7 linked regions of the Ovis aries genome follow. The protein of the gene in region 6 interacts with the protein of the main gene of each other region in a biochemical or structural test. Links are inferred from orthologs where the notes say so. Each region holds a gene or a part of one and is shown on either strand. Other genes may lie near its edges.

Region 1 (3,944 bases), on a different chromosome or scaffold from region 6:
GTAAAAATGAGACTGGGTTTATTTAGGAATGAAAATGGTGGAGGTGGTCGGGGAAATCTGAAAAGTGCCAAATTTAGAAAACACTGTAAAGGAAATATTCGTAGTTCTAAAGACTGGATTTCTCTCCAATTAAAAAACCACATTTCATATTAATCCCATGGTAGGCTTCCCTGATAGTTGGTAAAAAATCCGCCTGCAATGGAGGAGACCCTGGTTTGATTCCTGGGCCGGGAAGATCCACTGGAGAAGGGATAGGCCACCCACTCCAGTATTCCTGGGCTTCCCTTGTGACTCAGCTGGTAAAGAATCTGCCTGCAATGCGGGAGACCTGGGTTCAGTCCCTGGGATGGGTCAATCCCCTGGAGAAGGGAAAGGCTACCCACTCCAGTATTCCAGCTGAGAGAATTCCATGGACTATACAGTCCATGGGGTTGCAAAGAGATGGACACGACTGAACGACTTTCACTTCACTTTCACACACACGTGGAGTTCCCTGGCAGCTCAGTAGTCGAGAATCTGACTGCCAAGGCAAGGGGCGAAGGTTTGATCCCAGGTCTGAGAAGATTCCATATACTGTGGGGCAACTAAGCCTGTGCACTGCAACTACTGAGCTTGTACTCTAGAGCCCACAAGCCACAACTACTGGGGCCCATGCACCCTAGAGCCCGTGCTCCGCAACAGGGGAGCCACCGCAGTGACACGTCCAGGCATTGCAACTAGGGAAAGCCCACGTGCAGTACAAAGACCCAGCACAGCCGAAAGGAAACTACTTTATTTCATTTAGAATTCCAAGGGGTCGCAAAGAGTCAGACACAACGGAGTGACTTTCACTTCATAGTGGGAAAAAGTGACCATTTTGACAACAAAAACAATGAGAAGCAAAACTGTTGAGGAGGAAAGATATCAGGGTGTTTTTTGGAACAGCTCAGTAATAAGCAATCAATTGACAAATATATCTAAATGACTTTTCTTCTGGACATTTTGTTGAATAAGTCAAAATAAATTATAAGGCCATAAAGATTGGAGAAGAAATTGTCAAAAAGTGAAACTTTGATATGAAAATGAACTTCCTTAAGGAATAAAAATACACAGAGTGAAATCAGAGAATTTTGACCCTAAGGGAGATTTTTATATTATCAGTTAACACACAATCAACAGCTTTCATCTCAGAGTCTCCTAGAATTGGGTTGTGTCACACTAACTGTGCAAAATTTTAAATGAAATATTCCACGCAACAACCTACCTCAGGGGAGACGTCTGTAATTCCAAACTGGGATAAACTCTGATGCAAAACATTGATATTGAGGGAACGCAGCACTTCTTCAGATGGCAGAGCATCAGAAAACCCTGCTTTCCGATTTATGGGAGACACAAATAGTTCAACACTGTTCTTCTTTTCCTAGGAAAAGCAGATTATTTGTATATGTTAGTAGACATGTGAAGCAAGTCTGGGAAATATTTTTTGCTTTTCCTCTAGAAATATTAAAGAAAACCAGAACCTTAGATTCCTAAATGGCATCTTGGAGATCACTTTTATTAAGTATTCTTTTGTACACTTAAAATTAGCAGCCCAAAGTCCCACATCTTCAAATGGCCTTCTTTCAGTTAGTTAACATGTCTAGTTTTCTAATTTTATATTTCATTAGATGCTGGTTTATTTTCTATTCGATACTATAATTTTTGAGATATATTGTTCAGATGTTTCCTGAGAAATTGTGTTTAAAGAAGTATTTTAAAATCGAATGAACTAAGCAAAATCTGATTTAACAGTACAATTATAAGACATCATCACCCCATCTTATAACTTGCATTAATGTGAAGACTGGACTAACTAAGGAAGGCGATGCTGTCTTTGAACTTACTTCCCTGATCCTGTTTTTCACCTTAAATATGTCACACTCTTAAGATCTATTGTTCGGTAGAAATGCAAGTGTTATGCAATGATATCATGTTACTTTCCTATTAGTCTGACCTCATTTGCTGGGACAGGGTGAGAGGACTTCTTACCATAAATGGCTGATGTGCCACACACCCATAAGAAACAAACATGACACAAAATGATGCTGCCATCGACAGATTCTCTTTCACAACTTACGCAAAACACTTATAAAGAAAATGTGGTTAGCTTTTCTTTTCAATACACAGAATTTTATCCTGCTAGAAAACTTTCTTTTTTTTTTTTAAAGGAATATTTTCTTTGAATGTAATTTATCAGACATTCACTCAGGTATAAAATGGAGGACAGCTAGCAATCCAGGGAAAAATGTTTCTGTGTTTGCAGCAAACAACAGACAACAACTGGATATCACATAATGCTGATGTGAAAGATGTTGATAATAATTCAAATAGTTTATGATCTAATAGCAATGATAGTAGGGAGAGACCCTTGTTTTGTACTTGTCATGCTTCCCTGTGCCTTAAACCTGTTACCTCCAGGACAGAGGTATTATAGTCATTTCATGTTATAAATGAAAGAAACTAAGTAACCTGCCTTAGGTCATAGAGCTGGGGCAAGGCCAAACTGGAAATGAAATAGAATTCTGGGTCTGTCTCCACAGCACTTGCTCTTAATCACTATACTGTGCTTCCTCAGGTGTCGTCATAACTCAAACTATTACAAAAACTACTCTTAGAAACAGACATGCATAAATGCTGCTAACATTCTCTGAAGATATGCATATCCCTCTCTAGGTGTGGCAAACCCCTCTTTTACCCTTTCAAAGAGCCATTATACTCTTTAAATCTACACACAGAAGAGTATATCTAAGATATCTAAGTACATATATATATAAAATCTAGATCTAAGACATCTATAATACCTCACTTCTCACTTGAGTTAGGTACACTCTGGATATAAATAACTTCTTTCAAGGTAATGAGAAATGCTATATTTCTTCTTCTATTGTCAAAAACTTTGTTTTTTTTAAAAAATCTTATTTAGTCCCAGAGATTAGCTGACTCACAGAATAAAAGTTATTATGGGGATGAACGTAATTCATCTGCCACACAGGAAAAAAGGAAAAGAAATAATAATTCTAAACCAAAATTAAAAGCAAATTCTTCTCCATATGTGGAAATGCAGGTATTGATGCAGTATGAAACTGGGCCCGAGCAGGAGCCTAAGAATTTAGGGCAAGGAGAACGAGAAGTCTTTGCTTGAGTTTCTAAGGCAGCAGAAATTAAGAACAACTTTAAAACTGTAAAATATTATTCCAAAGTCCCTTTTCACAGGAAGCTTTGATAATATGCTTTTTACAAAGAGAAAATCATAATATTTTAATCTGCCTTTCTTTTGCTCACACCCACTTTCAAGTACAGATGGGAACATGTAGTTGGATGATATCAAAGTCCCTAAATATTGAGGAGAGGAGGAAAAGAAAGGATATGGCTGATTGATAGGTCTAAAGTGGGCCTAATAGAAAAGATCCCTTGGGCTTACTTCGTCCCACTTCAATTACCCATCCAAGTTTTCTCTTGACTTTTCAAGACTATTCTTGCATTCTCCTTGGACTGCTGTCCTTCAGGATGGTTCTTCTTCACTCTTTATTCAAAATCCTCTGCCTTCGTGTTCACTATCCTTTATCCTCTTATACCTAAAGGGATTTTAATAGATGCTGTCTGGAGACAGAGTCTTGCCTGATACAAAACATTTCTCTCTTAGGGAGAATATTTTGGGAGGAGTGTCAGATTGGTGAGACAGGTATTCAGGGCCTTTCTATTTTTACCTACCAGGGTAGCTAGTCTTGAACTATGAGAAAGTTGACAAACATTTTCTGTAATGGACCAGATAACAGATATTTTAACTTTCAATTTAGACAGACGATCTGTTACAACTACTCAACTCTGCCATTGTAGCATGAGAGAAGCCTTAGACAATATGTAAACAAATGGCTACGGTTTGTTACAATAAAACGTCTTTGACAAAAACAGGTGTTATGCCAGAT
Region 2 (3,944 bases), on a different chromosome or scaffold from region 6:
GTCGCAGGCCTTCCCCCTCTGGGCCCCCACCTCAGGGTGAGGACGTCACAAACTGCAGGCACAGGACACGCCAGGGAGCAGGACGCCCTCCTCAGCAAGCTTCTTTATATGCTCCCCAGGGGAAAAGCGGCCCAGGGCCGTGTTGGGACAGACGTGTGGGCAAGTGCCTGGTGATTCTGGGAGCAGGGTACACTGTGTTTCCTAAACATGGCAGCCTGTGACATCACAACCAGGGACCCCCACCCGCGTCTGACCTCTAGAGAAGAGGCAGTGGGGGCGCCCTAGAGTTTCAATTTTCCCTCCTTGACGAGTCTGTCATTGAGCTGGCAGAGCTGGGCCAGGAAGCCGTCATTGGGGCCGATCTCACGGTTCTGCCTGACGATGCTCAGGGCGGACTTGACATCCATCTTCTGACGCATCATGAGGTATGCGATGACGAGGGTTGGGGAGCGGCTGTAACCCTCACGGCAGTGGACCAGCACTCGGCCTGTGAGAGACGGGGACGTGATGAGCTGGGGCTGGCCCACCACACCTCAACTCTAGTCAGAACTCTTCCCAGGACATGCACATGCAAATTACACTGCCAGGCCATCCTGGGCCCACCAGAATGGCTAAGATGGCAAAGATAAAGATAAAACACACAAAGCACTGTCAGGGATGTGGAGCATAGCTAGGACTTTGATCTGTGGCTGGGGAAAGTGAAAAGGAAAAGTGATAGTTGCCCAGTCATGTCTGACGCTTTGCTAGGACTTTGATCTGTGGCTCGAGAAAGTGAAAAACAGAGTGACAGACGCTCAGTCATGTCCAACTCTTTGTGACCCCATGGACTATTCAGTTCATGGAATTCTCCAGGCCAGAATACTGGAGTGGGTAGCCATTCCCTTCTCCAGGGGATCTTCCCAAACCAGGGATTAAACCCAGGTCTCCCACATTGCAGGCAGATTCTTTACCAGCTAAGCCACCAGGGAGGACCAAGAATACTGCAGTGGGTAGCCTATCCCTTCTCCAACAGATCTTCTCTACCCAGGAATTGAACCAGGGTCTCCTGCATTGCAGGTGGATTCTTTACCAGCTGAGCTACCGTGGTTGGGGAGGGGATCATGGCTTCAGGAAACCATGTGATGGGATCTACTCAAGCTGACCATGTGCATCCCCCAGGGCCTGGCAATTCCATCCCAGACTCACGCCAGATAGGACTGCAAACACACGTCTGCTAAAAGAATCCCACCAGGACGTCATAGGCAGCACTAGTCACAATAGCCCCATACTGGAAACTCCCAGAGGCTGGTCAACAGAAAAGTAGATGAATACTGAGTCTGAACAGTCAACAACTTCCCAGATACAAACTGGATGAAACACACAAATAGGATGTGTATGATCCCACAGAGTAGAAGAGTCAGGGGAATCCCCTGGTGGTCCAGCGGTTAGGACACGGGGCTTCTACTACAGGGGGCACGGGTTCAATCCTGGTTAGGGGACTAGATCCCATATGCTGCGAGGTGTGGCCAAGACAAAACTGAAAAAAAAAGGGGGCCAGCAAAACTGAGCTACGCGGTTAGAAGTTTGGATAGTGGTGTGGAGGTGGGAGATGCGACACTGGGAGGAACATGTGGGGGTTCTGGGGTGCTGGTCAGGTTTAGTTTCTTGATCTGGGGCTGATAGTGAAGGACAGGGAAGTCTGGCATGCTGTCCATGGGGTCGCAAAGAGTCAAACACAACTTAGCAACCGAACAACAAAAACACGGGTGTGTGCAGTGCACTGATCTACACACTGCGATACGGGTACTAACCTACATGAATTTTCCATTTCAAGCAAAAGCAAAATATGAAAACCACCCAAATATCCATCAACAGGTAAATGGATAAACAAATTATGGAATGTCCATCCAACAGAACACTACTCAGCATTAAAAAGGCATTCCTGCTACGGCAACAGCATGGAAGAAACAAAAGAATTATGCTGAGTGAAAGAGGCCAGACCGAAAAAGCACACATCCTGTGCAACTCCATTTACACAAAACTCTACAAAACGTACACTAATGTCTAGTGATAGAAAGCAGATCAGTGGTTACTTGGGAATGGAGGATAGAGAGGAGCAGAAGGGAGAGGTCACAAAGGGAGGTGAAGGAAATCTGTGGGGTGATGGATAAACTCACCATCTTGGGTGTAGTTATGGCTTCAGAGATGTATACATATGTCAAAACTTACCAAACTCTACTATGTGTAGTTTAGGGAATGTCAATTAATGCCTCAACAAAACCATTTCAAAATAGAAGGACCGTGAATGTCAAATACAAACACAGAGAATCAAAACAATGAATGTATGTGTTAGTTGTTCAGCTGTGTTCCACTCTTTGCGACCCCAAGGACTGCAGCCTGCCAGGCTCCTCTGTCCATGGAATTCTTCAGGCAAGAATAGTGGAGTGGGTTGCCATGCCCTCCTCCAAGGGATGTTCCTGAACCAGGGATCAAATGTAAGAGACCCAATGTACATTGCAGACCGCTTCTTTACAGTATGAGCCACCAGGGAGACTATTAAATCCGTCCCCTCCCCCTGCCTGACATCATCTCCTCGTTCCCCTCCTCCCTCCAATCCAGCCAGCCAGCACCTTGGCCTGCAAAAAGTGAAAGTCTTACTTGCTCAGGCCTGTCTGACTCTTAGCGACCCCATGGACTGGAGCCTGCCTGCAATACCTCTTTTCCCAGGTGTTGCTCCAGTGTCCTAGGAAGGTCTTTCCTGCCTACCTTTAAAGAGCCACAATCCCACTCTCTATACCCTGTCATCCCCTTGCTCCCTGCTTGAGTCACCCCCATCCCCTGGGGGCCACACATGTTTTTCACTGTTTACTGTCATCTTCCCCCAAAATGTAAGCTCCTCGAGGGTAGGGATGCCTGTCTGTTTTGCTCCCTGTTGTATCCCCAGCATTGGATGAAGGAAGGAAGGGATGGTCAGGAGAGGCCAGAGCATCATCAACAAGGTTCCTCCAATCTTTTATCAAAGTGGGGAGGCCCCTTGAGCAAGAAGCCTTGGCTTCTCTTATCCCTACTCTCTCCTCACACAGAGCGCTCAGTTCAGGTCTTCATCATCTCTCACCTCTGCCCCTTCACCTCCAAACTAAGCTTTCCCTCCACCCTCACCCTCCACCAACCTACACAACAGCTGGAGGGAGCTTTCTCCAATATAAATGTGACCTGTCACCATTAGTTGGGTAGGCTAGCCACCAAAACGTTACTTACCAGGCTAACTGCCCGCAGCCCCGACACCTTTCCAGGCTATTCATGCTCACCTCTGTGCCTTCGCTCATGTTGTTCCTCCTACCTGGAACACCCTCTCCCTCTTGGCAACCTGGCAAACTCCTATTCATCCTTAAGACCCCAGCTCAACTATTTCCTTTGTCAGCATAAGGACTGAGAACCCCCAATCCTTGAAGTCATAGGAATCTGGGTTTAAATTTTAACTTGCTGGTTGTGATGGTTAAATGTGTCAACTTGGCTTGTCTATGACACCCAATTGCTTGGTCAAACACTACAAGAGATTTTGTAGATGTAATGAACACCTCCGATCAGTTGACTTTAAGTAAAGGAGATCACCCTTGATAAGGTGGGTGGACCTCATCCAATCAGTTTAAGAGCAAAAAACTGAGGTTTCCTGGAGAAGAAAGAATTCTGTCTGCAGAAGTCCTGCCTCAGTTTCCAGCCTGCCCGACAGATTTCAGATTTGCCAGCCCCATGATCACATGAGCCAATCCCCTAAAATAATAATATATTTTACTGGTTCTGTTTTCCTAGAGAACCTGGGCCAATACCCTGGTTATCACCCTATGACCCACCTAAGAATACTGTGCCTCACTTTCCTCATCTGAGCTAATATACGCATGGCCCAAGATGGCTGAAGATTCAGGGAAGAGATAAATAAAAGCCTCAGACTAGCGCCTGGCAGACAC
Region 3 (3,944 bases), on a different chromosome or scaffold from region 6:
AAGACTCTGAGCATCCCTTTTAACTATATCCTTTCTGTCTTCTTCAGGGTAAAAGCCAAACGATTGAGCTGCAAGGCCTGACATCAGCTGTGCCCTGGCCCCTCACCCCGTGGGCCTCACCTCCTCCACCTCTGCCATCCTGACCTCCTGCTGTTCTTCCAACACAGCAGGCACACTCCAGGCCCAGGATCTCCGCACTGGGACTGCCCGTCTCTCCCGTCCACGTGACTGGCTTCACTTCCTGCAAGTCTTTGCTCAAAAGTCACCTTTTCGACAAAGCCTTCCCCAAGATAAACATCTCATTTCTCCTATCCTTTTTACTTCTCTTTCCTCAGCAGCAATCGTCACCTAATAACCTACGTTTCTCGCTTATTGGTCTTCTGCCACCAGAATGAAAATTTCAGAAAGGCAGGGACTCATCTGTGACCTTTGACAGTACCTGACACACAGTAAATGCTCAGGACATATCTGCGGAATGAATGAACAACGAGGGCAGCAAGACAGCACTAATGAGATAACAGGATGCTCACACACCACACAGAAGCTAACGAACTCGAGGGGCTTCCCTGGTGGGCCACTGCAGCGGGGTGAAGGTTCTACCCCTGGTTGGAAAACTAAGATGCCATGGTGGTCGGCAAGAAAACTAACCAACTAGAGTTTATTGCAAGGACCTATGTGCAAGGTCAGCATGATACAAGAAGGAATCCAAGAGGCCCCTGAGGACTACTCACCTGTACAGAATGACTGCCTGCCGGGTGCAGGTGACTGGACATCTCCCACCTGCGTGAAGATCTCTACGGTGTAGGAGGAACCAGGTATTAACTTGGTGACTGTAGCTTGGGTAACGCCGATGCCTGTGACTATTGGCGTGGCGTTGCTGGAACTTCCATTCCGCCCAATAAGAAGGCAGTAGGTATAGTTTGAAGAGGCTTTATCAACATTCTGCCAGTTTAAGGTTGCTGCTGTGGTATTGGTCATTATCTCAATGCTGGACACCTTGTTGGGCCCTTAAGTTTTAGGGGAAAAAAAAAAAAGGATGGATTAACTTGAGCCATTTTATTGACTGCATCTAAAAATAGCCTGGACATTTTTTTTCTTTTTTTTTTCATTAAATTTAAAATAAAAATAGACTGGTCCTTTGGGTAAAGAATAAATAAAGCTAATACTTGCTGGGATCAAAAAAGAGGAGGCTTCCCCAAAAAGACATTTAGAAAATAATTATGCAGATTAAATCTCAAAAGAACTGAAGCTTTTCAGACTTCTTTTAATACTTTATCTGAAATCTATTTTCAAGATGTAATTTCCCACCTGTTTTTAAAATATGATTAATGAAACAAAAATATACAAAAAAGACATTATCAACTTCCCTCTCTACCATATATTTAGGTCAAATATTACCAAAGCATGTCCCTCACTGGTGCATGCGAAACTGCGTCCTTTGGGCAGCATCTTCCATGTCAACATGACCGGGTGACCCCTCCTCCAGTCTGTATTCCCGAGGAATGAATGAATACAGATGCTCCCCATGCTTATGGGATGCCCTTCTGCTTCGGAAGACAATTCCAAGTTCACATGGCTCAGCACCAGTGCCGCCAGGGCAGGGCAGAACGTTGACTGAGCCCAATGTCTTCAGCTTACTTGGTTTCACATTGTACCTGGAGCCCAGAAACATAAGGGCCTCTTGCCTCGTCACTGAACCTGTGCTTATTTCCCCTCCTCCAGGTGAAAGGCTGGGAAAATGCTTCCTCAGGAGGGTGTCCTAAAACACTCACGTGTGTACTGTAGAGTGGAGTTGGCCACCCCCTGGACCAAGTTCATGCTGGGGGTGACTGTGATTGTATATAAGGTGCCCGGGGTCAGGCCGTGGAAGGTGATCCCTGTGTGAGAACTGTTTTTCAAATCAGAGCCGTGTTCAGACCATATTTCTACGCTGTAGATGTACCCGGTAGCGTTGTCTGTGTTCCGCCACTGCAGCTGCATGTCGGTTGTGGTGACGTTAACAACACGGATGTCAAACACTGCACTGGGGTCTGGGCAGAGGAAAGGAAGAAAAAGGGAAGTCTGTCAATGACCATCGTAATGTCCAGCTTTATTCTAAAGTATCTGCCCAGAGAACTTGCTCTTCTGTCATCAAATGAGTTCACAAAGGGCAACCTCTCTAACACGCAGGCAAGAAACAGTTTCTTTCAAGACTCTTGGCTCTTCTGCAACACCAATGAATTTACCAACCTATCCTATCAGTTCTCTGGCCTTTTGCTTTTGTCATAGAGACATCCCCTTGGTTTGGGGGTGGTTGGGAGGGGGTCTTCTAGAGTGGAAACCATGCTCAGTTTTTCTTAATCTGAGTGCTAGTGACCAGATGGGTTCGGTTTGTAAAGACGCATCAAATTATGCACCTAGGATGTGTGTGTGTTTCAGCGTAAGTATTATATCTCAGCAAAGTTTTTAAAAACCACTCCCTCGGAAGAAAACATCTTTCTATAACATAGGCAGGCATACTGAAGAGAAAAACTGAAATGGAGAGTTGACACTGTGGGATCACTTGAGGCTGGAGTGCGGAAGGCGGAGAAGCCACGGGGCGCATCCTCACAGCAGGGAGTCAGAAGCGAAACTACCCAGAATGCTCTGGGCTCTGCACTCACCGTCTCACCTCTACACACTGAACCAGCCGCAATATAATTGCACAGAATCTTTTTTTTTAAGATTTTTTTTTTAACAAGGACCATCTTTAAAGTCTTTATTGAATTTTGTGGTAGTAAAATAAAAAGGGTGCAACAGTTAGCATCTGAACCATTTGTAAGTGTACAACTCAGCAGCGTTAAATACATTAACAGCATGGATAACACCATCATCACTGTCTAAACACAAAGCATTTCATGATGCCCAACACAAACTCTGTTCCCGTGAAATAAGAACTTCTTGTTCCTCCCTTCTCCCCACTGCTCTATCTTCCATCTCTATGAATGTGCCAGTTCTAGGCGCCTCACATAAGTGGATTCACGTGGTAGCTGTTCTTCCACGTCGGGCTTTTTTTGCCTAGCATAATGCTTTCAAGGCTTATTCCCACTGTAGCATGTCTTGGTGCATCATTCCTGTGTGGCTAAACAACATTCTATTGTGAGGCGTCCCTGGTGGCTCGATGGTAAAGAATCCACCTGCAACGCAGGAGATGCGGGTTCAATCCCTCAGACTGGAAGCTACCCTGCGGGAGGAAAGGGCAACCCACTCTAGGATTCTCGCCTGCAGAATCCCATGGACAGAGGAGGCTGGTGGACTACAGTCCACGGGGCTCACGAAAGAGTCAGGCACAACTTAGCAACTAAATAACAACAACTATTCTATTCTATGGATATAACACATTTCATCTGCTGACAGGACACTTGGCTGCCTCCACCTTTTAGCTATTGTGAATCACGCTACTATGAATGTTGGTGTTGAGAAATATGTTCAAGTCCCTGATTTCAATTCTTTTAGAAATATGTATACATGTAAGAGTGGAATTGCTGGGTCATCCAGTACTTGCTTCCCTTTTTCAAAATCACCTTTAATGCTGTTACATTGATTCTCCCCCAGTAACAGCTCTTGATTTCCATTCATTGGGACGATTATAAGCAATAGTACAAGAGATGCCTTCTCCTTACAAATAGTCCTAAATTACTTCTGCAGTTGCTCCATATCGAAGTGCAGTCCACACCGTGGTTAAGACCTCAGTCTTCAAAGTCAGACAGAGGCCAGTTCACTCCCTTGTCACCCTGGGTCAGTTACTTAAGTTCACAGACTCCCCGTTTCCTACTCTATAAAATAGAGATGATAATAGTACCTACCTCATAGAGTTGTGTTCAAAATGTTTAAATACAAAGGCTGAGAGCCCAGCACTTTGTAGACCCCCACTACATAATGTTATTATTGGATTAAACTCTGAGAATTGGCAAGTCACACAACAT
Region 4 (3,944 bases), on a different chromosome or scaffold from region 6:
CCCAATGGGATCAGGAGCCCTTAGGGGTGGAATAGACCTGATAGCTCCTGGGGTCTCAGAGGTAGAACTGTATGGGCACTGAAAGGGGCAGCAGTGTTTGCTGTGGGAGGAATTTCAGTAAGAGACCAAATGAATGAGTAAGTGAGGTAATGGATAAATGGAAGAATTAATGAATGGGAGGATGAATAATTTGGCAACTGAATGGAAGAATGAATATATGAATTTAAAAATTCATGGGGAAATTATTGAGAGAATGAATGAGTGGTTAAGTCAACTGTGGTAGCTGTGGGTTGGAGGTTTCTGGGGAATACTGACTGAACCCCCCACCTCTTTTTTTTTCTCTGCCTCCAGTGTCCTCTATTTCTCCATCCACCGCTATGAGCAAGGTCGGTTCTGGCCCCATCTTAAGGCCTCTAATTGGTCCACCACAGGTTTAGGCCAAGGCCAGGGATACACCATCAACGTGCCTTGGAACCAGGTCAGTGTCTGCATACCCTTCACCCCCAAAGTGAGACCCACTTCTGCCCTTCAGAGCAGATGGCAGCACGTCCCCATTATACCTCCCTGTCTGCAGGTGGGGATGCAAGATGCTGACTACATCGCCGCTTTCCTTCACGTCCTCCTGCCAGTTGCATTTGAGGTCCTGGGGCTCTGGGGTGTGCTGGGGCAGAGGTGATGTTGAAGGATGGGCCATGATAGCAGGTGGCCTCATGTGATTCCTCCCTCCTTCAGTTCCAGCCCCAGCTGGTCCTGGTAGCCGCTGGATTTGATGCCCTCCAAGGGGACCCCAAGGTAAGGCAGGTACTTGGGGATGGCGGGAGGGCAGAAGGAGGCCCTGTGGAGCCAGGCTGACCCTCCGTGTCCCCCCCAGGGTGAGATGGCCGCCACTCCAGCAGGGTTCGCCCAGCTCACCCATCTGCTCATGGGTCTGGCAGAAGGCAAGCTGATCCTCTCACTGGAGGTGAGTGACTCATTCCACTTCAGCCCTTGGATCCTGGAAGACAGAAGAACAACATTCAAATCTGGCAGAAGTTCCTGTCCCAGCATTTCCACTTACTAGCTGGACAACCTCACCTACGTCCCTCAACTTCCCTAGGCCTCTGCTTCCCTTATGTCAGAGGTGTATCATAATAGTTGTAACCACCTCAGACTATTTGCTCAGCAAATGAAATCACCCTTCAAATGCCTTGGCATGCAGCCAGCACCACCCCAGTGTCATTCATACTCTTCTCTGATAACATCTGGCTCTTTCCTGCCCACCCTCACATGAATTCCTTCTCCCAGGGTGGCTATAATCTCCGCTCTCTGGCTGAAGGTGTCAGCGCCTCCCTCCACACCCTTCTGGGTGACCCTTGTCCTATGTTAGAGTCTCCTGGTGCCCCCTGCCCGAGGTAAGCCCAGGTGGAGGAGGGGAGAAGCAGGCCCCTCACTGCTCATTCAGGAGCTGGTTGGTCACATTTCTCCCTCACTTGACCTCCAGTGCCCAGGTGTCACTCTCCTGTGCTCTAGAAGCCCTGGAACCCTTCTGGGAGAGCCTTGTGAGATCAGGTAGGTGTCAGGGAGTATGTTGGGTCAGGGGTTGGGTAAGGAATGAGCTGTGGGAGGAGTTTCTCTTCAGACCCCACTCTGACCTTCCGGAAGCCACCTTGCTGGGGGGAGGGGAGAATCATGCCCTCTCTCTTACTGGGCCCTGATTTCAGGCCTCCCACCCCTTTTTAGGTTTGGGTAAACCTCGTTCCAGAGTATTACAGGGATCTAGGTTGGGGGCGGCATAAGGGAGTAGGGTGAATGTGGCCTCCCCTTGCAGTTGAGAGCCTGGAAGAAAAGGACACTGTGGAGAAGGATGATGTGGAAGAGAAGGAGGAAGAGAAACTGCCACAGTCCTCTGAGCTCTCCATTCCGATATGGCCGGTGCTACAGGCTCGCACGGGGTTGGTCTATGACCAGCGGATGATGGAGCACTACAACTTGTGGGATAAGTAAGCAGTCAGAGAACCAGGCTAAGTGGGAAGTGGGGAGGGACCCCCGCTTTCAGTAGTAAGCCCTGCCTCTGTTCCCTCACTCCTAGCTACCACCCTGAGATGCCCCAGCGCATCCACTGTATCATGCATCACCTGGACGAACTGGGCCTTGCCAAGCGCTGCCACTCCCTGCCCGCAAGGCCTGCTACAGATGCTGAGCTGCTCACCTGCCACAGGTCAGACCCATGTGGCCAGGGTAGGATGGGCCTCAGAGCATGGAGCCTGGGCTTGCCTCTCTGATACATGGAGCTGTTACAAGACATGGGGTGGGGAAGGATGTGGAGGGGACAGAATTACCTGGCTGTCTTCTCAAGTGCCCCCTCTGTACCTCCAGTGCTGAGCACTTGGAACGTCTGCGGGCCACGGAGAAGATGAAGACCCGGGAGCTGCGCCGTGAGGGTGCCAACTATGACTCCATCTACATCTGCTCCAGCACTTTTGCCTGCGCACAGCTGGCTGCAGGCGCCGCCTGTCGCCTGGTGGAGGCAGTACTGGCAGGAGAGGTGCCTGTGCTTTGGGGAGGGGACCTTGGGCTCCTGGCAAGGAAGTCCTGGGAGGGGGGGGGCGGGCAAGAAAGAGGCAGCTCTGAGAGTTGGGCCAGGCCTGAGGAAAGGGGACTTGGAGAGCAGTCCGCAATGGAAGGGGACTACAGCCCCAGCTCGCCAGAGGCCTTACTCACAGGGAAGTGCACCCAGGGGGATGGGGCCTACAGGGCTGTGGGGAGGAGGCCTTAGCAGCTGGTGGAGTAGTAGGGGCACAAGAGACAGGGAAGGGGAGGGAAAGCGGTGAGGGTGGGTGGTCTAATCTTTGCTTCCTGCCCCTCCCCCAGGTTTTGAATGGCATTGCTGTAGTGCGACCTCCTGGCCACCATGCAGAGCCGGATGCAGCTTGTGGTTTCTGTTTTTTTAATTCTGTGGCTGTGGCTGCTCGCCATGCCCAGGCCATCAGTGGGCATGCACTGCGGTAAGGCTCCCTGCCCCCACTGCCCAGTGCTTACTCAGCAGGCCCTGTAATGCAGCCCCCAAAGTTACCCAGGACCACCCCAGGGTCCAGTTGCCCAGCACTTCCAGAAAAGGACCAAGGAGGATCTAGCTTCTGGGGCCTGACCCAAATGGGATCCCCAGATTGTGGCATGCAGGTGCTTATCAAACAGAATCCAAGGTCCCCTGCCCCAGAATTTCTGGCCCTTGATGACTATCCTAACAGAACCCAGGGGCTGGCTTCTGGTGCTTACTTCAAAAGGCCCATGGCACTTATCCACATGGGGCCTAGGATCTGGCCCTGAGCACCTGCTCTGGCCCACTGTGAAGCCCTTAGGACTCTGATAGGACCCACAAGCCTGCCACCCAGCGCTTTCCCCAGGGACTCAGGGTCCTGCCACCCGCAGTAAATGTCCCGGCACACAGACTCCAGGGATGTAGCCCCTGCCCTCCCCCAGGGAACCAGTGTTGCCAGGTAACTAAGGTGCTGTCCCCTCCTCAGGATCCTGATCGTGGACTGGGACATCCATCATGGTAATGGAACTCAGCACATATTTGAGGAGGACCCCAGGTGAGGGGCTGGGGCAGGGGCTGGAGTGTGGTCAGGGAGATGGGCAGGCCATGCCTCAGGGGCACCTTGCTAACCAGCTGTTGTCCCCCCTTCCCACCCTGTCCCCACAGTGTGCTGTACATTTCCCTGCACCGCTATGATCATGGTACCTTCTTTCCCATGGGGAATGAGGGTGCCTGTACCCGGATAGGTAAAGCTACAGGCACAGGATTCACTGTCAATGTGGCCTGGAATGGGCCCCGCATGGGTGATGCTGACTACCTGGCTGCCTGGCACCGTCTGGTGCTTCCCATTGCTTATGAGGTATGATTCGGGGTGCACGTGATGAGACTCTGTATGTGGTAGTGAGTGTGCATGTGTCTAACTTACAGG
Region 5 (4,725 bases), on a different chromosome or scaffold from region 6:
CCATAATTTATTCTGTTGTATAAAAAAGTCATCCTTATGTAACAAAATGTCTTCTTAGAAGAAGATATATATTATTTCAGGTCATAAATAATCAGCAAACATACAACTGTTGGCAACTTAAAAAACAAAACAAAATCAACACTGGTGCTTTCCAGTGTTGAAAACAAACCTGCTTAGGATATATTTACAGGATATTACAGTACTCAAACACAAAAATTGAGGTATTTGGTTCTTCTAGGAGTAGACACTGACATTTGTGAAGGTGGACCGCCTACACAAAAATAAATAAAACAAAGTATATTCTCATATGTATATGCGTTGTCGGGAATGGTAATACTGGTAGGTATGTCAAGCATGAAAAGTGTCTTCAGAAAACAGGGACAAAAAGAGAAATCGGCTCTCACACTTGAGTCCTCTCTCTTCTGCCCCTTTCTGTCCGAGGGACTTGATGTACGCACTGTATGTTGGTCCCGAAATGTGCTGAGTTCAGCAAACATCTTGGCGTGAAGTCATCATTACAACTGCTCAGGAACCCAGTGGAACTTGGGTGAAATTAAATAAATAAAGACCAGCCCTCACGAGCCCCCTTCCCTGGAGTTATTGCATTTCCACTTTCCAGGAGCCTGGAATCCCGGTGGGTTGTGAAGATCACCTCCCGTGGCTTTTCAGCAGCTGGGAGAGGTCGTGATAGGGCTCTGAAGGTAGCTCAATGCACTGTTTGTGGGGTGGACGGGAATGGAGACCGGGAAGTTGAAGACAGTGGTGGTGGAGGTGCTGCAGTCAAGCACAGCCATGGCGGGGCTCCCCGCCTCTGCCGAGCAGTGGGGGGCCAGGACCTGCGACTCAAACTGCAGCAGCTGGCCCATGAAGCTGAAGTTGGGGGAGATGATGCTTCTCCTCTGCTTCACGAACTCAAAGGCCTCATCCAGCTTGACTCGGTTAGTCCTCATGAGGTAAGCGAGGCAGATGGTGGCCGATCGGGAAATGCCCGCCTGACAGTGGACAAACACCCTTCCACCAGCATTCTTGATGGAGTCTGGAAAACAAAGGGCAGCTGGTTATTTGAGAGCCCAGGAGAATAACTCCAACCAACCCCAGGTGTCTAAGAAATGCCACATGTGTCCTGTCCAGTATGGTCGATATCACCTCATGTCATCACAGACATACTGTCCATGAAGGCAATGTGGGCACAGTGGATTTAAACAGCCGGGGATTTAAACCCAGGCAAGGCATCGCCACTAAGCAGATTGATATTGGACAGATCAATTCAACCTGAGATTCAGTTTGCTAATTTATAAAGTGGGACATCGAAACTGTACTTTGCAGGGATGCTGCCCATGCCAGACTGATTTTAATGTCTAGAGGAAAGCTTAAATCTATGTTGCTCAAGTTCTTGCCATGGAATTTAGTCTCAGTCACTGAAACAGAAGGAGTGTGGCAAAGTCCCAGGCATCTGCTCCACTTACCTATGAAGTCAATTGCCTCATTGAACCAGGAGCTGATGTCTGCCTTGTGGTTGTCCTCCACGGGGATGCTCTTGTACTGGTAGTGACCCTCGAAATGGTTGGGACAGTTTGCAGAGACGTTGATCAAGGCAGTGATGCCCAAGGCATCCAGCATGTCCTTGCGGGAAGCATGATAGGCACTGCCCAGGTACAGAAAGGGCAGGATCTCCACTGGGCCACCCTGAAATCCAGAAACATCCAACGCTTGTCAAGCTTTGTTCAACGGCAATGGTGGTGCCCACATCCACAAAACCTCCCTCCTGGATAAGTTAGTTTCAATATTGGGTGAACCTCACAGCACTGTTAAGAGTGTCAATAAATAAGGGACTAAACCCATTTGCCTAGGCAGGGCCAACAAGCTAATTTCTGTAGTGCCAACAATTACAGGCTCGGCTCCATCATGCCATGTAACCACGGGATAAATGAAATCTCCTGTGTCCCCTGTTATAAATAAAGCTGCACGTCACTTTCTATATTTTCACTAGCGCGGCTCTGCCACCTTTGCCAGCTCTTCCTTCTCCCCTCCGGCACAGCCCCCTACTAACCTGATCGTAGAGCGGGGTGCTGCAGGAACTGCACCCCGATTCAGCGCTGTCAGGGACACTAGTACTCAGGGGAAGGCTGAGCCCCATGGGGGTCGACTGTTTGCTGCACAGCTCCGGGTAGGAAGCAGAAAAAGCTTCATATCCTCCTGGGAACACAAAGAGACACATATTTTTCATTAGTACCGCCGAGACAGGGTACCTTCATACAACTTCCTCATCCACCAGAGCTGGAAGTTTAGCCCGGGGAGCCCCAGGCGAGTCTTTGTTCCTAGAGCCAAACAAAGCCAACAAGTCCCCACAATGCGACTCAGGCGTCCAAGCTCTCAGGTGGAGCAGCACCCCCCGCAGCTGAGAACCAGGGGTCCCCAGACTAGGCGGCGGAGGGCGTGAGGCCCGCCCCTGAGCGTCCCCGAAGGCGTACCTTTGAGCAAAAAGATTTGCGCGCTGCGCGCCTCGCGGCAGAGCGCGCCGGCGGCCAGCGCCAGGGTGCCGTCGCGCTTGGCGCAGTCCAGCGCGGCGCTGCGCTCGTCCAGCAGCACCACTGCGTGGTAGGCGCCGGCCAGCAGGCGGCCGCGCAGCTCGGCGTTGGGCACGATGTGCTCCAGACCCATGGCGCCCTTGGCCCGCCGACGCACAATGGTGCTGAAGCGCACGTTGACCGAGCCGGCGATGTGGCCGGCGTTGAAAGCGAAGAAGGAGCGACAGTCCAACAGCAGGCACTGCGCCGCGCGCTCCCGCAGCAGCGTCCGGAGGCCTCCGGCGTCCAGGGAGACCACTTCCATGACCATGGCCGGCCCCAGCGCCCCCAGCGTGCAAGTCGTCCTACGTTCTTTGTCCCGGGAAGCGAACAGCAGGGCGATGGCTTTCGAGGAAAAGCCCGACCCCGGTTTTCTTTGCGCCAAACCCAAACTGCCTTTGGACCGAGCGAGGGGTCGCCGTGTGGGACTCTCGACCGCCTCGGCTTCCTTGTTGCTCTCCCGACGGCCCTTCCACCCGCGATTCGCCCAGGGCCCCGAAGTCTTTCGCAGCGAGTCCGAGCCGGCGGAGAGCGTTTATATTGTGGCTCCGCGTAAGCAAGCGGGGCGGCGCGGGGCGGGGCGCGCGCGCGCGCGCGCTGTGGGGGAGGGGATTGTTTGTTTGAATGACGGTCACGTGACTGGTGTGGTGACGTCACCCGCCTTGCCGGGTTTGGCGCCGGAGCAGCCAAAGGCGAAGACGTCAGCGGCCTCCGAGTGGGGTCCGCTGGCTAAGCTCTGGCTCGGGCTTCGGCCTCCGCCCGGCCGTCCAGCCTGCGCCTGGCGCGTCCCTAGGGAGCTGGTCCGGGCCACTCTCCGGGCCCAGCGGGGAGGGGAGAGGGTGGGCGCTCTGCCAGCCGAGGGCTGACTCCCGTGTGCGAGTGCCTGGGAGCGGGCCGCGTGCCATGGGCCCCCGCCTCCCCCTTTCCACCCCCTCCACCGCGCCGCGTCCCGGCGCCCGCTCCTCCGCCGACCGGAGCCGAAAGGGGTCTCCTTTGTTACTGGATACACAGGCGCCCCTTTCTCTCATTTCCCCGTACCCAGCAGGCGAGGAAACACGGGTTCCCGAGGAGAAGCGATTTATTATACTTGCCCAGTATCGCACTGCTGGGGGTGAGCGGGCCGAGGGGAGACTGAAATGAGGGTCGGAGAAAAATTGAGTTTGTCCGCTCAAGAACAACCGGGGTAGGTTGGGGTGGAGGTGTTCAGGGAAATACATTCCTGTTCCCCAGGCTTTCCTGTTACTTTAAAATGTACATTTAACAAGTAAAATGCGGTCCAACCAAACCCCAAGCAGAAAAATGTCAATCCTAGTCATGTGGTCCTTACGTGGTTGTGAGCCGAGGAAGGCGGGTCAGGGGTCTGAAATGAGGGTGGGGGCCGCAAGGTGCGGTTGTGGATTGCGGACGTCCGGCTTTTAGTGAGGCGACCCCCCGCCCAGTGCGGATCGACAGCGCCCCCGCAGGGACCGCCAGACACCTTTCTTCTGCTCGCGTTTTCTTAAGTCTCAGCGGCTTCATCTCTTTGTGGTGGTTTCTTCAGATTCTTTGCGACCTCATGGACTGGAGCCCACCAGGCTCCTCTGTCCATAGAATTTCCCAGGCAAGAATACTGGAGTGGGTTACCATTCCCTTTTCCTGGGGATTTTCTTTTAGTCCCCAAACATGTACTGATTGAGCGCCTACTAAGCGCCGGGCTGGGGACTGCAACTGGGAACCGGAGCACCGTCCAGCCCCAGGGCCCTGGTTCTTGCCATCAACGTGAGCTGGTCTTGAAATATAATCCTACAGCATTTTAAGAGGATTTACAGGACCTGGACAAAGGTTTGGGGAGACCTCCATAAGGTCACCCTCATCCTGGGCCCTAGTGAAGCCCTCCGACCTCCCGATCCCCGGCAGCACCACACAAACACAAATATTGCGCCATCAGGCTGGGGTGCTGAGTCAGGAACATTCTGTGGTTTCCTCCCCTCTCCTCTAGGAGAGCGGGGTATTTCACTAACACCCAGTGTCGTTGATCCGCTGGTTGTATCAGCAGAGGCAACTTCTGCATTTGCCTCGCTTAGTGTTCTCACATGCTCAGACTTTCTGCCTAAATTCTAAAAAAGTAAAAGGCTAAGTGCTTTTTTAAAAAGAGCATTTTTGGCCTTCAGGTGAACAC
Region 6 (4,437 bases):
CTGGTGACCCTGAGCAAAGCGTCGCAGTTCTGTAGCCTCAGTCTCCCTATTGAGAAAATGGGGATAATAAACTGGGAAGCAGGAGAACGTCCCAGCTAAGAGCAGTAACTCTGGAGTTCACCTGCCACTGTCAATCATTCCTGCACTGGTCATTCATTCACTTTAGGAACTCAAGCCCTGTCTGCGCCTCTCTTCCTCATCTGTAAAGGGGAAAAAAAATCCTTTTTAGAGAGTGGTGGTAAAGATTAGTTGAGAGATGACCCAGGCAGTGCAGCCAGCTTGGTGCCTGGCACGTTGTAAATGTTCGGCAAATGTGAACTAGTATTGCTGTTATAAAAGACTGAGCCACATGGCTGTTGAGAAGGTTAAATGAGATTATGTATGAACACCATCTGGCAGGCAATAAATGTTTGCTTAAAAATAAATGCCTGCCTTATGGGGATGGTTTGTGCAAGACGAATGAGGAGAAACTTCCCAGCGGCACGCTCCTACTCCGGGGGCTTGGCCCTACACCCGAAGACAGAGGAGTAAATGTCCTTTTATACTCTAAGATAAAAAAAGAATTAAACATAAACAAACAAATAAACGTCATGTGGGTTGTTTCTGGAAGACTCAGTTATGGCTGTCTTTCAGAGTCAGCCTCAAAAGGGCCTTCCGAGAACACCTGGACCAACCCTGCTATTTTAAAGATGAAGAGGCCCGGCATGCTGCAGTGACTTGGTTAAGGTCACACGACAAGCTGAGGGTGAGTGTGGAAGTTTCCTGCCCACAGTTTGTGGTGGGGGCTGCAAACAGTGCAGTACAGATCACCACTCTTGGGGGAAGGACTGGGATGGTGGGGGTGGGTGGGGTAGGGGAGAGGTGATGAGTGTAAAAGCTCCTAACAGAGCCAGGCAGGAAGTGGACCCACAAACTAGGAAAGCAATGTGTGTGTGTGGGTCGGGGGGGCCACAAAGGCAGGTCTGTTCCTCCCTGGGCAAGGTACGAGTCCACAGGTGACTGGGGTGGGACTCTGAGCAGGAAGTCCCAGAGAGGGGACAGGTTCTTGTCTGGGGGAGGGGAAGAGGCAGCCACAGAAGCACTTGATTTTATTTCAGTTTTCTGAGCCTCAGTTTCCTCATCTTTGAAATGGAGCTGCTGAGACCCATCTCCTAGGGCAGTTGGGAGTTAGAATAGGAAATGTCAAAGCACTCGGCTTGAGCTGCACCAGACTCACAGTAGGCCCTCAAAACAGGGCAGTGTTCTTCCCGCCTGCCTTCCTGCCAGTCTGAGGACCCAGAGAAACAAGAACTGCCATCAGTTAAACAGAAGAGCTGACTGTGGGCAGAGGCTGGATCTCCTCACAGAATTGCCGATGTCAGAGGACAAAGCTTCCACAGGGCTCATCTTGCCCAGCCCCCTACGAAGCCAAGATCGAGAGAACAGACTTGCCCAAGGCCACACTGCCTGGCCGCAGCAGGCCAGGATTCATCTGAGGCCTCTCTGCCTTCTTACACTGTGGCCTCTTGACCGCTGGAAAGTTTCCTTTACTGGGTTTGTTTGGAGGGAGGTTGGGAAGAAGGGAAGAGAAAACAAGCCCCTGTTCTCCCAGCCCGGCTCTGAGGCTGGGCCTGGCCAGCCGTCTGGCCCAGGTGAAGGATACACATCCCTCATGGCTTCCAGGGTGGGTGCTCGCAGAATGTCTCGGATGCCAATGACATTCTCATGGCGGAAGCGCAGCAGAATCTGAATCTCTCGCAACGTGCGCTGGCAGTAGGTCTGATGCTCAAAGGGGCTGATCTTCTTGATGGCCACTCGAGTCTTGCGCACGTGGTCGTAAGCTGAGCTGAGAGGGCCAGAGAGATGTTGGTGTCCAGGCCCGGTGGCCCCACCCAGGCCTTGGCAGGGCGGGGAGGGAGCAGGAGAGGGCTCTGGCCAGTCATAAACAATGCTAGTTCCTTCCTGCTGTGAAGGCCTGGGATCTCCAGGGAGAAAGCTGGGGACCAGCCAGCCAGCCCTTCGGTGACTTCACAAACAGAGGAAGAGACTGACCGCTCACTGACTTCCCCTCTCCTCAACCCTTTCCATTCGAGCTGCCCTGACCCCTCATCCTCCCCTTCCCACGATGGGCTCTCTCAAGCCAAGACGGGTCCAGGGGGTGGGAGATGTGGAGGACTGGACAATGAGGCAAATACAGTGAGAAGGAGGGAGTCGGAGGAGGGACTGGAGAGAAGGGAGAGGCAGGGCCGGGGCGGGTGTCAGGGGGAGGTTCCTGGGCAGCAGAGCTATGTCCAGCTGAACAAAGGCCCAGAGCACCCAGTGCGGATAGGAGAACTCACAGACCCCTCCTAAAAGTTGCAGGAAGGTGTTCCTGGACCCCTCATGGCTCACTGGGTCCCTGGCCCCAGGCCCAAAGCCCCACCCCACCCCACCCAGCCCTGAGCTTTGCTCTTTTTTCCCAAACTCCTTGGCAAGCCTCACTGGGGGGTGATCCAAGACATCCTCTCCCCAGTGAGGGGACCCTCTCTCCTTCTTCACTAAGGATATCACCTCCCCAAGAAGACTAATTCTCTTCTCCTCACCCCGTGATTATGGGGTCCCCAAGGTCCCCAGAGCTCCCCCACATACACTCTGATGCCCTACCCTTCATTATTGAATAGTCAGTTCAAAGCTCCCAAACCTCCTCTCCTGAGACCTTACGCAGTGACCCCCTCCCCCAGAAAGCACTCAAAGGCCCTCCGCCTGGGACGCTCCCCAGCCTCCTGAAGCCCCGGCTTCTTCAGGATGCTCAGAGTCCGCAAGGCCCAGAGAGCTCTCAGCACCCCTCTCCGCCCCCTCCCCAGAGACGCCCCCTCCCCCAGAACGCCCCTCACCTGACCATGCCGTACGCGCCCTCGCCGATGTACTGCAGCTGCGTGTAGCGCGGGCCCACGTCGAACGGCTGCCCCTTTACTATCTCCACCTCCCCCGGGACCCCCGGGCCGACCCCATCAGTTCCCCGGGGCTCCCCGCCCCCGCCCCCCTGAGCCGCCGCCGCCGCCGCCATCTCCACTCCTCCCCTCCCGCCCGCCCGCCTCCCCCCGGCGGCCCCGCCCGAGGCCCCGCCCCTTCCCGCCCGCCCTCTCACCCGCGGAGCCGCGCGCGCCAGGCCCCGCCCCCGTCCGCCCCCGCGGCGTCACGTGACTCTCCCCGCCGCGCGCGCGCCGTTTTCCCGCTGCTGGGGCTGTGGTCCCTGGCACCTGTCGGCCTCGTCTGCTCCAGTCAACGTAGAAGCTCCCCAGGGCAGTCTCGAGACTGTCCAGACCCTCCCCCCCCACCCCCGCCACCGAATGCTGACCGGTAGGGCGGCCCGGTGACCTCACCCAGAGCCACCTAGCAAATGAGTGCTGGAGCTGGGACCCAGACCGGGCCACGTGGCCCCGCTGTGCCCACTCGGCCCGAGGAGTAGCCCGGGGCTCGAGGTGGAACCTCCTGGAGCCAGGCCCGATGCCGAGTGATATGATGCTTATTTCATAGTAGCCGTGACAGGTGGCTTCCTCACACATGGGGCCTCTTTCACAGATGTGGAAACTGAAGGTGACTGGGCAAGGTAACTTGATTGCTGGAAAGCCCAGGCATCTTGACTCCCTGCCTAATGGTTTTCGAATGGAGACCTGTCAAAGTGGGCTAGGGACCGGACCTCAGCAACCTGGCAGTGCCTGTATCCTGAGGACAGATAATCCCAGCCTACCTTTACATGGAGGCATAGGGAAGAGGTGAGGGCTGCGTGGACTGGGTTTGGTGAAAAATACACTCTCAGGCTTTACTCAGAAACAGCAGGATAGCTAACATTTTTGTTGTCCTTGGATTTGACAAAAATTGGAACCGAGATCATCATCTTTTGCTCCTGTGCTAGACTTCATAGTTTACACAGCATTTGGTCCACTTTAATTTCTTCATTAGAACCACCCCACAGTGTAGGTGTCATCTGGTTTTCTGAGCTGGATGAGCAGAGGGCCATGTCTGTCTTGTTCATTGCTGTAGCCCCCACCCACCCCCATCCCTACAGTCAAATGTAGACACTCAAAAATTTTGGAATAGGTGAATCAAAGTTTTACAGAATGGGAAATCTGAGAGTTGAGGAGCTGAGACTAACATGTATCTTCTGACACACAGGCAGAAGTTCTTTTTAATTGCATTCTGTCTCCCAGACTGTTAAACTGAAGAGACCATCCAATCCATCTCCACTTCACAGTGAAGATGTGAGCTGGGAGCTTCACAAAACACATCTCCTAGGCTTCAGGAAGTAATCACGTTGTTTTTGTCTTCCTTGGAAGCTGGGAGTATGTCCTTGTATGCACTAAAGATCAAGAGACAAAATGGAACAGAAATTATGATTCTGAAATTGCTCATAATTAGATCTATGGTCAGGCATTCTAATTCAGATTAGTAACACTGAGAGTTGCTAGTTCCCAGGAA
Region 7 (3,944 bases), on a different chromosome or scaffold from region 6:
AAGCGTCTCAGCTGAGCCCATGAGGAAGGGCCCACGCACCCACCCAGGGCAGCCCTGGGGGCACTGCAGGGCACCTGACCCACCCCTCAGGTTAAAGGAAGCAGCCTCCTCCCTCATGTTTGAAACAAATGTGATTGCTTCATTTAGTAACAATGTCTAAGTGCTTAGAGCACAAATAAATACATGCAATTAATCCACACTGTAGAAAATCTGGGACAACTCCACAGCCTCGATGGGAGCCCTGGAGCCCTTGTCACCATGGCGCGGCAGAATGCCACACAAATCTTTGCTGGCCAAGGCAGGGCTCGCAGCTGGTTTAACGACTCAGGCAGCAAGACCACATCCTCCTCCAAACAGGCACACCCCCAAACCCCAATTACAGCTGAGCAGGGTCCTGATTTGTTTCGCTATTTCTGATTGAACTTAGGTTTGTCCTGTTACTTGTACATGCAACTGATGCTGGACACTATCAGAAGCAAGCAGGTGGGGCCCACTGTGAAAGCCCTTTGGGACCTGGTGACAAGCCAAGTGGGTTGCAAGTAGGGCCGCCTTCTGCCACAGTAGCCCACTCGTGCCCGGGTGGCCCAAGGCGCCCTCCACCTACCTGACTCGAGTGATAGCATGCTACGGCCAGGGCCTGAGTGCGGGTGCTGGTCTGCATCGTGGGCACCCCCCCACTGCAGCAGAGCGGTCAAGGGGTTAAAGGAGAGGCAGAGGAAGGTGAGGACACACAGCAGGATGCGGGAGCGGTCCACCATGCCCAGCGCGACCGGAGAGTCTGGCTCATCTTTGACCTTCGAAACAGGGGGCCGCGAGGCGAGAAGGAAGACTGCAGTGAGTTTTTATAGCATTTTACTTTTTATATATCGGAATCGGGACTCTGAGATTTAAATTCAAGACCATGAAGCTGGATGGGAATAAACTCAGGAGGGAACTAAGAGGTTCACGCCTCTCCCACTGCTGCTCAGACACGGGGCCCTCGCCTAAGGGGGAGGGCCCACCTGGGAGAAGAATGCATTCTAAAGACCGGAGGGAGAGGGGCCCTGCTGTTACCACAGTGCTCCGACACAAAAGAGAACACCCTGAGGGATTCTGCTTCTGTGTAATTCCACAACAGGCAAGCTGATCTAAAGCGACTGAAGGCAAAATCAGAAGTTAACTCTGCGCCTGGAGAGGTATGGGTGAACTTCCTGCAAAAGTGTACATTCATGGGAGATGAATATGTTCTGTATCATTTTTTTAAAAACCTAGAAAGGATTTACTCATTTATTGTTATTTTTTAGTTAAAGTATAATTGACCTACAAACATTATGTTGGTTCCAGGTACACAACACAGTGCTTGGACTATTTTCATACATGACACTATCTCTACAATAAATCTAGCTGCCATCTGTCACCAGACAAAATTATCACAACATTACTGACTATTTTCCCCATGTTGTAAAGCTCTTCCCTCTGACTGATTTATTTTTTTATCTGGAAGTCTGTATCTCTAAGTCTCCCCCTCCTATTTCACTCACCCTCCCACACCCCTCCCCTCTGGCAATTACCCATTTGTTATCTTTATCTAAGCATCTGCTTCTGTTTTGTACTTTTTTTCTTTTTAAGATTCCATATATAAGTGAAATTCTTAAAGAGATGGGAATACCAGGCTGCAAGGAGATCCAACCAGTCCATTCTGAAGGAGTTCAACCCTGGGATTTCTTTGGAAGGAATGATGCTAAAGCTGAAACTCCAGTACTTTGGCCACCTCATGAGAAGAGTTGACTCATTGGAAAAAACTCTGATGCTGGGAGGGATCGGGGGCAGGAGGAGAAGGGGGCGACCGAGGATTAGATGGCTGGATCACATCACGGACTCGATGGACTTGAGTCTGAGTGAACTCCGGGAGACGGTGATGAACAGGGAGGCCTGGTGTGCTGCGATTCTTGGGGTCACAAAGAGTCGGACACGACTGAGCGACTGAACTGAACTGAACTGAACTGAATACCAGATCATCTGACCTGTCTCTTGAGAAACCTACATGGAACAACAGACTGGTTCCAAATTGGGAAAGGAGTACGTCAAGGCTGTATATTGTCACCCTGCTTATTTAACATATGCTGGAAGAAGCACAGCTGGATCAAGATTGCCGGGAAAAATATAAATAACCTCAGATATGCAGATGACACCACCCTTACGGCAGAAAGAGAAGAGGAACTAAACAGCCTCTTGATGAAAGTGAAAGAGGAGAGTGAAAAAGTTGGCTTACAGCGCAACATTCAGAAAACGAAGATCATGGCATCTGGTCCCATCACTTCATGGGAAATAGATGGGGGAACAGTGGAAACAGTGCCAGACTTTACTTTGGGGGGGCTCCAAAATCACTGCAGATGGTGATTGCAGGCATGAAATTAAAAGACGCTTACTCCTTGGAAGGAAAGTTATAACCAACCTAGGTAGCATATTGAAAAGCAGAGACATTACTTTGTCAACAAAGGTCCATCTAGTCAAGGCTATGGTTTTTCCAGTGATCATGTATGGATGTGAGAGTTGGACGGTGAAGAAAGCTGAGCACAGAAGAATTGATGCTTTTGAACTGTGGTGTCGGAGAAGACTCTTTAGAGTCCCTTGGACTGCAAGGCGATCCAACCAGTCCATTCTAAAGGAGATCAGTCCTGGGTGTTCATTGGAAGGACTGATGTTGAAGCTGAAACTCCAAGAGATACCCCACGCCCTACGTAAGAGAAACCCAAGAAAGATGGTAGGTGTTGCAAGAGGGCATCAGAGGGCAGACACACTGAAACCATACTCACAGAAAACCAGTCAATCTAATCACACTAGGACCACAGCCTTGTCTAACTCAATGAAACTAAGCCATGCCCATGGGGTAAACCAAGATGGGCGGGTCATGGTGGAGAGGTCTGACAGAATGTGGTCCACTGGAGAAGGGAATGGCAAACCACTTCAGTATTCTTGCCTTGAGAACCCCATGAACAGTATGAAAAGGCAAAATGATAGGATACCAAAGAGGAACTCCCCAGGTCAGTAGGTGCCCAATATGCTACTGGAGATCAATGGAGAAAAAACTCTAGAAAGAATGAAGGGATGGAGCCAAAGCAAAAACAATACACAGCTGTGGATATGACTAGTGATAGAAGCAAGATCCGATGCTGTAAAGAGCAATATTGCATAGGAACCTGGAATGTCAGGTCCATGAATCAAGGCAAATTGGAAGTGGTCAAACGAGATGGCAAGGGTGAACATCGACATTCTAGGAATCAGCGAACTAAAATGGACTGGAATGGGTGAATTTAACTCAGATGACCATTATATCTACTACTGCGGGCAGGAATCCCTCAGAAGAAATGGAGTAGCCATCATGGTCAACAAAAGAGTCCGAAATGCAGTACTTGGATGCAATCTCAAAAACGACAGAATGATCTCTGTTTGTCTCCAAGGCAAACCATTCAATATCACAGTAATCCAAGTCTATGCCCCAACCAGTAGCACCGAAGAAGCTGAAGTCGAACGGTTCTATGAAGACCTACAAGACCTTTTAGAACTAACACCCTAAAAAGGCGTTCTTTTCATTATAGGAGACTGGAATGCAAAAGTAGGAAGTCAAGAAACACCTGGAGTAACGGGCAAATTTGGCCTTGGAATGCAGAATGAAGCAGGGCAAAGACTAATAAGAGTTTTGCCAAGAAAATGCACTGGTCATAGCAAACACCCTCTTCCAATAACACAAGAGAAGACCCTATACATGGACATCACCAGATGGGCAACACCGAAATCAGACTGATTATATTCTTTGCAGCCAAAGATGGAGAAGCTCTATACAGTCAACAAAAACAAGACCAGGAGCTGACTGTGGCTCAGATCATGAACTCCTTATTGCCAAATTCAGACTTAAATTAAAGAAAGTAGGGAAAACCGCTAGACCATTCAGGTATGACCTAAAT

Evidence for each region.
Region 1: the proteins of MAPK3 (region 6) and PTPRR form a complex in vitro, tested with the Homo sapiens proteins (2 studies listed by BioGRID). The link is inferred for Ovis aries from reciprocal best matches to the Homo sapiens genes MAPK3 and PTPRR.
Region 2: of the proteins of MAPK3 (region 6) and DUSP3, one has a biochemical effect on the other in vitro, tested with the Homo sapiens proteins (2 studies listed by BioGRID and IntAct). The link is inferred for Ovis aries from reciprocal best matches to the Homo sapiens genes MAPK3 and DUSP3.
Region 3: of the proteins of MAPK3 (region 6) and PTPRJ, one has a biochemical effect on the other in vitro, tested with the Homo sapiens proteins (2 studies listed by IntAct, with this or other methods). The link is inferred for Ovis aries from reciprocal best matches to the Homo sapiens genes MAPK3 and PTPRJ.
Region 4: the proteins of MAPK3 (region 6) and HDAC6 form a complex in vitro, tested with the Homo sapiens proteins (2 studies listed by BioGRID, with this or other methods). The link is inferred for Ovis aries from reciprocal best matches to the Homo sapiens genes MAPK3 and HDAC6.
Region 5: of the proteins of MAPK3 (region 6) and DUSP1, one has a biochemical effect on the other in vitro, tested with the Homo sapiens proteins (2 studies listed by BioGRID and IntAct). The link is inferred for Ovis aries from reciprocal best matches to the Homo sapiens genes MAPK3 and DUSP1.
Region 7: of the proteins of MAPK3 (region 6) and SREBF2, one has a biochemical effect on the other in vitro, tested with the Homo sapiens proteins (2 studies listed by BioGRID). The link is inferred for Ovis aries from reciprocal best matches to the Homo sapiens genes MAPK3 and SREBF2.

The regions. Positions count from the first base shown.
Region 1 is NC_056056.1:149,062,238-149,066,181, reverse strand, and holds part of PTPRR (receptor-type tyrosine-protein phosphatase R), read right to left. Parts: intron 1,400-3,944; coding exon 1,244-1,399; intron 1-1,243. UniProt on the Homo sapiens protein: Sequesters mitogen-activated protein kinases (MAPKs) such as MAPK1, MAPK3 and MAPK14 in the cytoplasm in an inactive form.
Region 2 is NC_056064.1:43,407,554-43,411,497, forward strand, and holds part of DUSP3 (dual specificity protein phosphatase 3), read right to left. Parts: intron 488-3,944; coding exon 282-487; 3' UTR 1-281. UniProt on the Homo sapiens protein: Shows activity both for tyrosine-protein phosphate and serine-protein phosphate, but displays a strong preference toward phosphotyrosines. Specifically dephosphorylates and inactivates ERK1 and ERK2.
Region 3 is NC_056068.1:76,756,906-76,760,849, reverse strand, and holds part of PTPRJ (receptor-type tyrosine-protein phosphatase eta), read right to left. Parts: intron 2,031-3,944; coding exon 1,773-2,030; intron 1,008-1,772; coding exon 732-1,007; intron 1-731. UniProt on the Homo sapiens protein: Tyrosine phosphatase which dephosphorylates or contributes to the dephosphorylation of CTNND1, FLT3, PDGFRB, MET, KDR, LYN, SRC, MAPK1, MAPK3, EGFR, TJP1, OCLN, PIK3R1 and PIK3R2. Plays a role in cell adhesion, migration, proliferation and differentiation.
Region 4 is NC_056080.1:56,245,932-56,249,875, reverse strand, and holds part of HDAC6 (histone deacetylase 6), read left to right. Parts: intron 1-351; coding exon 352-478; intron 479-574; coding exon 575-640; intron 641-732; coding exon 733-792; intron 793-871; coding exon 872-961; intron 962-1,284; coding exon 1,285-1,391; intron 1,392-1,480; coding exon 1,481-1,548; intron 1,549-1,807; coding exon 1,808-1,979; intron 1,980-2,068; coding exon 2,069-2,197; intron 2,198-2,355; coding exon 2,356-2,524; intron 2,525-2,850; coding exon 2,851-2,984; intron 2,985-3,503; coding exon 3,504-3,572; intron 3,573-3,682; coding exon 3,683-3,875; intron 3,876-3,944.
Region 5 is NC_056069.1:4,709,614-4,714,338, forward strand, and holds the start of DUSP1 (dual specificity protein phosphatase 1), read right to left. Parts: upstream 3,080-4,725; 5' UTR 2,839-3,079; coding exon 2,472-2,838; intron 2,197-2,471; coding exon 2,051-2,196; intron 1,687-2,050; coding exon 1,467-1,686; intron 1,037-1,466; coding exon 666-1,036; 3' UTR 1-665. UniProt on the Homo sapiens protein: Dual specificity phosphatase that dephosphorylates MAP kinase MAPK1/ERK2 on both 'Thr-183' and 'Tyr-185', regulating its activity during the meiotic cell cycle.
Region 6 is NC_056077.1:26,691,834-26,696,270, reverse strand, and holds the start of MAPK3 (mitogen-activated protein kinase 3), read right to left. Parts: upstream 3,048-4,437; 5' UTR 3,026-3,047; coding exon 2,853-3,025; intron 1,826-2,852; coding exon 1,643-1,825; intron 1-1,642.
Region 7 is NC_056056.1:218,721,457-218,725,400, reverse strand, and holds part of SREBF2 (sterol regulatory element-binding protein 2), read right to left. Parts: intron 795-3,944; coding exon 605-794; intron 1-604.